Linked DNA regions of Saccharomyces cerevisiae S288C. The protein of the gene in region 1 purifies or fractionates together with the protein of each later gene. This does not show direct contact. Each region holds a gene or a part of one and is shown in the gene's direction. Other genes may lie near its edges.

The links.
Region 2: the proteins of COX20 (region 1) and PNT1 purify together in Saccharomyces cerevisiae (affinity purification with western blotting; 2 studies listed by BioGRID, with this or other methods). This does not show direct contact.
Region 3: the proteins of COX20 (region 1) and COX3 purify together in Saccharomyces cerevisiae (affinity purification with western blotting; 2 studies listed by BioGRID, with this or other methods). This does not show direct contact.

The regions. Positions count from the first base shown.
Region 1 is NC_001136.10:925,678-928,471, reverse strand, and holds COX20 (Cox20p), read left to right. Parts: upstream 1-1,561; coding exon 1,562-2,179; downstream 2,180-2,794. Other genes in the region: HEM1 (5-aminolevulinate synthase), read right to left, coding at 1-1,020; IVY1 (Ivy1p), read right to left, coding at 2,326-2,794. UniProt on the Saccharomyces cerevisiae protein: Involved in the assembly of the cytochrome oxidase complex. Required for the maturation and subsequent assembly of the mitochondrially encoded COX2, the precursor of subunit 2 of cytochrome oxidase.
Region 2 is NC_001147.6:819,248-822,803, forward strand, and holds PNT1 (Pnt1p), read left to right. Parts: upstream 1-1,775; coding exon 1,776-3,047; downstream 3,048-3,556. Other genes in the region: DSE3 (Dse3p), read left to right, coding at 1-911; RBL2 (Rbl2p), read left to right, coding at 1,207-1,527; putative serine/threonine protein kinase HRK1, read right to left, coding at 3,341-3,556. UniProt on the Saccharomyces cerevisiae protein: Probably involved in mitochondrial export. Confers resistance to the anti-pneumocystis carinii drug pentamidine. May act by the removal of pentamidine, or its damage targets, from the matrix by an active-transport mechanism.
Region 3 is NC_001224.1:77,090-80,571, forward strand, and holds COX3 (cytochrome c oxidase subunit 3), read left to right. Parts: upstream 1-2,123; coding exon 2,124-2,933; downstream 2,934-3,482. UniProt on the Saccharomyces cerevisiae protein: Component of the cytochrome c oxidase, the last enzyme in the mitochondrial electron transport chain which drives oxidative phosphorylation.

The DNA.
Region 1 (2,794 bases):
ACCGAAAGACTTACCTAAAGTGCCGGTGATCATGTCGACACGGTCCATCACAGTCTTCGCGCCGCCCTTGTCATTGGTCTTTGGGGTAGCAATACCACTTGCACGGTGACTTTCAAAATCACAATGTTCTGCAACACCTGCACCGTGAGGGCCGTACAGGCCGACCGCATGTACTTCATCCAAGAAGGTCAAAGCACCGTATTTGTCGGCCAAGTCGCAAATTTTTTCTATGTCGGCCACTGAACCGGCCATAGAATATACTGATTCGAAAGCAATTAGTTTAGGAACGGATTTGGGGTATGACTGGAGCAGTTGTTCCAATTCGTTCAAGTCATTATGTTTGAAAATGTGTTTTTTTACGTTAGCATGCTTAATACCGACAATCATGGACGCATGGTTGAGTTCGTCGGAGAAAATCACCAAGTCCTTCATCTTTTGACCCAGTAGGGATAAGACGGCATCGTTGGCTACGTAACATGACGAAAAAACTAAGGCACCTTCCTTCTTGTGTAAAGTGGCCAATTCGGCTTCCAGATTCAAAGTGGGGATGTTATGGCCAGCAATGTTTCTTGTACCACCGGCACCACAACCATACTTGTCGATAGTTTTATGCATGGCGTCCAATACCTCAGGGTGCTTGGAAAGTGCTAAATAGTCGTTGGAACACCAAACGGTGACCTTGTCCGCCTCTCTCTGGCGATGAGCTAGGGGGAACTCCTTGGCCAATCGGTTGATATTGTTGAAATATCTGTACGATTTGTCAAGTCTTTTCTTCTGCAGTTCGGAATCTATCAGGCCTTCGTAATCGAAACCCGACTCCTGGGTGGAATGGTTGGCAGCAGCGGCTGCTGCTGCTGCTGCATGTGTTGATGACGCTGTGGCAGTGGCAGCAGCGGCACCAGCACCAGTAGCGGTGGCATAGCCATTTTTCGCATGTGGTGCGGCTGTCGTGGACAGCCTATTCAGTGTGGAAACAGCGGCAGAGGAGTTACCGAACCTCGCAAAAATGGAGCGTTGCATACTGAAAAAAAAACCTAAGTACTGTTATGATTATTGAGGGACAACAACTAGCTCTATTAGTTTTCCTTCCAACCAAACTTATATGGGCAATATATAGGAAAGAAAAAAGAAAAGAGTGGGATAAAAAAAAAAGAAACGCGAGCTGAGAAGGGAAGGCGTGTAAAGGAAGAACGGTTGAGAGACAGCAGAGCAGGGTGCAACACACAACCGAATAGAGTATCAGCTGACGGAATGGAGAAGTTTGGTATGATGCAAACGTTGTATTTCTAACAACGCATGGATCAGAACAATGGGCAAGGCAAGATGAAAAATTTCCGTTCCTGCTCTTTCTTCATATATGAACAATGACCAAAAAGCGCCCGCGGCCGCAGACCAATGAGCGACGAAGGCGGCCTTTCCGAGCGGTAGGGTAAGCCGTGCAGGCAAGCTTATTATAGCACCGTCGGGGGTACCACCACTATATCAAACTCCACTGCTCGGTAAAGCATTGTAGTGAAGTCCACAGCAGTGCGTAACGAGCAGCTCAACAGTTAATATAAAGATGCGTTGGTGGCCGTGGTCAAATCAGACAGAAGATCAAAAGCAGCAGCAACAACCGCAGGGTAAAGCAGATGGTGATCGCGTGCTGACAAATTACTCGCGGGGTCAAAAGATCCTCTTAGAAGACACTCCACCCAAGTTTGCCGATGACTTGTCCAATTCTCAGTTGGCCAAGAAGCAAGAACGGGCTACTTTGAAAGAGGCTTGGGACTCGATCAGATGGAGTGATTTTAGTTTGCAGAAGCTGACTTCAATCCCGTGCTTCAGAGACGCGGGCATGCTCGGGTTTTCCAGCATGTTCTTGATGGGATCTATTATATTTATATACCATAAGAGCCCGACTAAGGCCACGAATTGGGCGATGAGCTCTCTGATACTGGGCTCGATTGTCGGATGGGAGCAATGTAGGCTAAAGAGACAAAAAAGTTTCCAGATCGCACAATTGGCAAAGGAAACCGTGGCGAAAAAGGAAAAACCAATGCTCCATAATGTCCCTCATGACCCATCTCTGCCGGGGCAATGGGAGGCCGCCAAAAATGAAAAGCAGAGTCAGTTTGAACAAAGTAACCAGAATTTATCTCAGGCCTCCTCTGAGAAGAAATGGTACAAGTTCTGGTGAAAAGAACGAGGGGGAAACAGAAGGTAGAAGCAGGGCCTTTTAACCGTTTTCCTATGTATATATGCAACATTTCTCCGAAAATACTATAACTTCAATTGTTCACTTTCTCCATTTCTATATAAAAAGCATACATAGAGTTACAAATTTTATATATTACTTGACTGGTCTTGCATGCCGTCCGTATCGCTGCTGTGATTGTCATTATCTTCTTTAATGGACAATTGTTTAAACGTTTGTGTGGTTTCCTCGGCAGAGTTTCTCGTAGGCGGTAAAGAAAATGAATTTTCTGTTCCCATCAAATTGTCTGTATCCTCATCTTCGCCATTTTTGCCGCCGCCATTGTTTCGTACCCCGTCCTTGTTTGAACTTGACTGTGAATGATTCGGTGTGGATACCGTTGAGGACCCCTTGGATTTGGGTAAAGATGTTTTTGATGTGGAAGGTTGGCTGGTTCCTTCTAGTAGTTCATTGAGCACCACGTCATTCCCACCCGTTTCCTCATCGCTGTTGTATGCTTCTCCAGCAGTCTCTCCATCACCACCGATGGTCCCGTATGGCCCATCTGCTTTTTTGCTGAAGGGGTCGTCTGCATCACAAAGTAGTTCGTCTAGCCCG
Region 2 (3,556 bases), on another chromosome or scaffold:
AAAGAAAAAGTTTACGTAGGCCGACGCTGTCAAAGCCTGCAGTAGTACAATCTTTAGGGCATAAGACACATTCGGATCATATTATTGATAAAGTGTTTGTCTCTCGCCCGGCCCCAATTGTAATGCCTGTAAAAGCCCTTACTCCTATTAATCCGGTCTCCCTAATGCAAACACAGACACAAGATTGCTGTAGAAAAAATAAGTATGGCAAAAGCGGTAGTGAAATATTGTTTGACGAAATTCTATCAGCCTATGAAAACGTTTCTACAAGCGATTCTACTGCCCTAAATTCAGAAATTGACAGAATTATCGATATATGCGCTTCAAAACAAATAGCTAAAAAAAATGAGGCATTTCAGGTACCATATGTCGTCTGCCCTGACGACACAGAGACTTTGTTTTCGTCAACAACACCAAAGTTGAAACCTGTCAATTCTAACACATTAAACGATGTCATTTCTAGCCCAGAATACACCACGTCTGGATGCAGTACATACTCTGACCAATCGAATTCAGATGAGGAATTGTCCGAAGTAGAAAGTATAGTATGGAACACGAATAAGAGGACAATGAGATCATCCATTGTGTCTGAAAGCACTAGTGAGGAAGGCTATTGCACTGCTGCGGAGACTTTGCCCTCAACAGTATCAGTGGAAGATCTGGATATACATAACAAGCTTCCAAAAGTTGCACAAACATCATCGTGCAATACGCTTTTGAATAAACTCTCTATAAGAAAATTAAAAAAAGTAATTCTCGATCCGCCTAAAATAATGCATGTCATGACTTTTGACGATGACAGTGATGATGGAGATGACAACGATGACGAGGATAGGGCTTTGAATATTCTTCAAAAAAAAATTGACTGCATTGAAATAGCAAGTTGCAGCAGTAGCATTTACAGCGAATAAAAAAATTTATTCTAGGTTTCAAGTAAAATCATACGTATATAAGTAGAATAATGGCATGAGCGGTGACACATTGTGTATTTGCACCAGAGGTGGTCATCAATAGAAAAGTGTCACAATTTCAACGATAAATGGCCGCTTATGTCGCACCTTTTGTAGTATTACCCGCAAAGGATCATAATGAAGAACTACTATGGCTACATATAAACAGAGCAGTTAGATACAGTGCGTCTTATAAGGGCATTTTTGAGCATAAAGCACAACAGGTTGAACTCAAGAAAACTACATTTCACTATCAATGGCACCCACACAATTGGATATAAAAGTCAAGGCCTTGAAGAGGCTGACTAAGGAGGAAGGGTACTACCAACAAGAACTGAAAGATCAGGAAGCACATGTGGCAAAACTTAAAGAAGACAAGTCAGTTGACCCATATGACTTGAAGAAACAGGAGGAGGTCCTTGATGACACAAAAAGATTATTACCTACTTTATATGAGAAGATTAGAGAATTTAAAGAGGATTTAGAACAATTTCTAAAAACTTACCAGGGTACCGAAGATGTCAGTGATGCAAGATCCGCTATTACGTCTGCACAGGAATTACTCGATTCTAAATAATCTATAGATAACCTTTTTCTTACCTTTTCGCATTTATTTTGATGCAGGTTTTTATACTTTATTATGTACAAACCTGTTGCGGATGAATAATAAATCTCGCTAGAAAATGCACGGAATATTATATGCAAAAGTAGAAAAGTGGAAGACGGCTGTTGATACAGTGACGAGATATAAGAACATTTTACTCTATATTTAAAAAGAACTTTATTAATCTATTTAATTGAGTTAACACCTTTAATGCCATCGATATGGATTCTCGAGTTGCACTGGTACGAAAATACATAGCACCATCGGTGATAAAAAGCGATTCTATTCAATTGCACGGTTTAGTGAAGGCACCACTATTTAAAGCGTTGAATAGCCGTTACAAATTAGGTTCACTACAGATAGTACAGGATGTCGATTGGAATGCGAAGACAACACCATCCGATTCTCCAGAGCCTCTGGCCGCTACTCTAAACTCTAATCGATCCCTACCAATGACTAAGTTCCCCAAGCAGGAGATCTTGGAACAGGTAAAATTGGATACTAAGGTTGGCAAATGGAGGAAATTCATGACAGGTTGGTTTAGAATTGGATTGTATCTTTTAAAAAGCTATAAAACAGGAATTCAGAACACGTTAAAAGTATTCTGGGATACTCGAAACGAAGAGCAGAAATTCAGCATAAAAAACGGTGCATTGGCTAACTTAGTACGGGAAATAGAAATGCATGAAATCAATACAAGACTATCGTCTTCATCATTGCCTACAAGTTCTTCAGCAAAAGCCCCATTAAGGCCACTTTCAATCAATAGGAAAACACTGGTGGAACTGATCAGACGAGATCAAATCTGGAAATTACCTGTATTTTTCACCTTAGTATTCATATTTGAGGAGGTAAGTGTATTGATCTTTACCTTTTTTCCACGTGTCTGTCCGTACAATTGTTTAACTCCTGGTGGATACAAGAAGCTTTCCAACTCATATATCAAGGGAACAACAAGCACACAAGGTAACTACGGTCTGGGTCCCTTAGAGTTTACTAAGCAAGGTACAATTAAGTATGAGCCACCATATGCAGTTCCTATTGAGAATTTGTATAATTTTCTGACAAGCTTTCCTCAAAGTATGATATCAAACTGGAAACTGTATATTTATAAAAAGTTAAAATTACAGAAGCTACTTTGCAATGAGATAGAAAAAATTTACCAGTATCTGTTTATCGATGACTGGTTGCTGTTGCAGAGTATACTCAACACTGATGTTGAGAAAACTAAAATCGCGCTAAGTGATAGAGAATTGGTTAACTGTATACTTGAAAGAAAACTTTATCACATGGGCGATGACTTGAATGAGATGGTTAATGACACGTTAGGGAAAGAAATCTTACTGAAAAGATTGTTTCTTTATTGGACATTAAGATATAATGACACTATATCCTTAAACGGAAAGCATACATTCAGTGAGAAATGGGGTGTCAACAATATATCATTGTTAAAATATAATTCAGAATTGGTAGCTACGAAAGATATTCAATAGATGTAAATATTCATGACATTATCTATGCTGTACATATTGTTTAAAACAAAAACTCTTTTAAACTTTTCTAATTGCAAATTCAAACAATAATTCAGTGATGTTTCTTGCTTTTGGAGCAAAGGGCAATGTTACTCTATATTGTATGTATAATATGATAGATACTCTTCCGTATATATAGTATATAGATTTTCGTCAAGCGTTTCAATTGGAAAGTGAAAGAAAAAAATAAGAAAAAATAGAAAATACAATTAAATTAATCGAAAAAAGAAGTGAAAATAATTGAGTAGTTCGTATTAAACCTTGTAGGTCTCTAAGTGAGCATTTTCCTCCCTAACCAATGTATGGTGATGGCCAGGCGCTCTAATAACTTTATTTTTTGAATCCATGGTACAGGCAGCAATGGCGGCAAACCATTCATCATTAAAAATATCATCTAAGGTTGCTCTTTTCTTTGGATCTACTTGCAGTATACGGGACATGATAGGTCTTGAAGCATGTGGTAGTAGACG
Region 3 (3,482 bases), on another chromosome or scaffold:
CCGAAGGAGTAATATATTATATAATTATTATTTTTAATTATAAATAAAATATAATTATTATTTATTATATAATTTATATAAATATATATATATATTTATTATATATATAAATATAAATATAAATATAATAATTAATAATATTAAAGTTTTATATATATTAATATATTATAAAAGGTTTATATATATATATAATAAGATAAGTAATAAATTAATTAATTAATAATATAAAAATATATATTATATATTATGTTTTATTTATATATATATATATATTATGTATTATTATATAAATATATATATATATTATATTATAAGTAATAATAAGTATTATATTATATATAGCTTTTATAGCTTAGTGGTAAAGCGATAAATTGAAGATTTATTTACATGTAGTTCGATTCTCATTAAGGGCAATAATAATAATATATTAATTAATAATTAATTTATAATAAATATATTATAATAATTAATATATATATATATAATATATTTAATACAAAGAAAATATATATTATATCTCTTATTTATTTATTTATTAATATTTTAATAAATATAATATTATAAAAAAAAGTTTATATATTTAGTTCCGGGGCCCGGCCACGGGAGCCGGAACCCCGGTAGGAGAAATATAAATATAAATATAAATATAATATAAGTTTGGTATTCATTTAATTATATTATTTAATTAAAAATATTCTAAATAAGAATAAATATCAATAAAGGAGTTATAAATATATATATATATTAATATATATATAAAAATATATATTATTATTAGTTCCCGCTTTGCGGGAACCCCGTAAGGAGTGAGGGACCCCATGGGAACCGAACCCCTATTTAAGAAGGAGTTTTATTATAATAAAATTTATATATATTTAATATATAATTATAAAAATATTATATAATAAATAATAAATAATTATTAATAATAAATAAATATAATAATAATATTATAATAAATTTATAAATGATTATAATAAATTTATATTAATTTTTTATTTTGTAAATACTAAGATTTGAACTTAGATAATATGCACCTAAAAACATACATTTTACCATTAAATTATATTTACCTTATTAATTATATAAAATTTATTAAATATATAATATATTAATTATATAAAAATTATTAAATAAATATATAATATATTATATATAATTTATAATATATATATTATAAATATTATTATATATAAAATATAATATACTACTTATAAAAATATATATATATATATAAATATATATATAAATAAATATTTTATATATTAAATTAAATAATTATTAATAAATTTAATTATAAAGTATAATTTTCAATAGGAATATTTATAAGATTATAATAATTATATGAATTATTATAATTATATATATATAAATAAATAAAATAATAATTATAATAATTAATAAGAGTTTTGGATATATATCTGTGGAGTATATATTTTATAAAGGAGATTAGCTTAATTGGTATAGCATTCGTTTTACACACGAAAGATTATAGGTTCGAACCCTATATTTCCTAAATCTAGATATAATATTATATCTATCTTAATATAATAATATTTATTTATTAAATAAAAAAAAAATAAATAATATTAATTAATATAAGATTCTTTTTTAATTATAATAATAAATAAATAAAAAGAAGATATTATCAATGATTTATATTAATAATAAATATAAATAATAAAAAATATATATAATATAATATAATAAATATATTTCCTTTAATATTAATAAATTAATAATAATAATAATAATAATAATAAAATATTTAAATAAATTATATTCAATACAAATTAATTATTTATATTATTAATAATTGAATAAATAATCCGGTCGAAAGAGATATTAATTCGATTATATTATTTATTTAATTATATTTAATTTAAATATATAAATTAATATATATATATTGAATTATATATAAATTTATTTTATAATTTTATAAATAATATATTATTATAAATATTTAATATAATTTATATTATTATTAAATAAAAGATTTATTAAATTAATATTATTATTTAATTTTATTATATAGTTTAAGGGATAATATTTTATTAATATTTTTTTTATTTATTTATTTAATTATATTATATATATAATATATATATAACAATAAATTTATGACACATTTAGAAAGAAGTAGACATCAACAACATCCATTTCATATGGTTATGCCTTCACCATGACCTATTGTAGTATCATTTGCATTATTATCATTAGCATTATCACTAGCATTAACAATGCATGGTTATATTGGTAATATGAATATGGTATATTTAGCATTATTTGTATTATTAACAAGTTCTATTTTATGATTTAGAGATATTGTAGCTGAAGCTACATATTTAGGTGATCATACTATAGCAGTAAGAAAAGGTATTAATTTAGGTTTCTTAATGTTTGTATTATCTGAAGTATTAATCTTTGCTGGTTTATTCTGAGCTTATTTCCATTCAGCTATGAGTCCTGATGTACTATTAGGTGCATGTTGACCACCCGTAGGTATTGAAGCTGTACAACCTACCGAATTACCTTTATTAAATACTATTATCTTATTATCTTCTGGTGCTACTGTAACTTATAGTCATCATGCCTTAATCGCAGGTAATAGAAATAAAGCCTTATCAGGTTTATTAATTACATTCTGATTAATTGTTATTTTTGTTACTTGTCAATATATTGAATATACTAATGCTGCATTCACTATCTCTGATGGTGTTTATGGTTCAGTATTCTATGCTGGTACAGGATTACATTTCTTACATATGGTAATGTTAGCAGCTATGTTAGGTGTTAATTATTGAAGAATGAGAAATTATCATTTAACAGCTGGACATCATGTTGGATATGAAACAACTATTATTTATCTACATGTTTTAGATGTTATCTGATTATTTTTATACGTAGTCTTCTACTGATGAGGAGTCTAAGGCTATAGAATTATATATCTAAATGATTAATATATATATTATTAATAATTAACAATAATTAATATATTATAATTTATATATATATATTTTATATTATTATAATAATATTCTTACAAATATAATTATTATATATTATTCCTTCAAAACTCCTAACGGGGTTCCCGCGAAGCGGGAACTAATAATAATATAATCATTATACTCTTTTTTCATTTACCTTTTATAAAGATAATTAATAAATTTATTTAATATTTATAAAAAAAAAAATATAATATTAATATAATATAATATAATAATGTAATTATTTATATTTTTATATTCCTTCGAGGTCACCGCCTCACCTCCAGCGGGACTTTTTTAATATGATATAATATAATATAAATATTATTAATTTAACTAATATATAAATTCATATATATATATATATTATTAATATTATTTTATAAAAAATATTTTTTATTTGATTATTATTAAATATTATATAGTTCCGGGGCCCGGCCACGGGAGCCGGAACCCCGAAAGGAGAAATATTAATATATTATAAATATACTA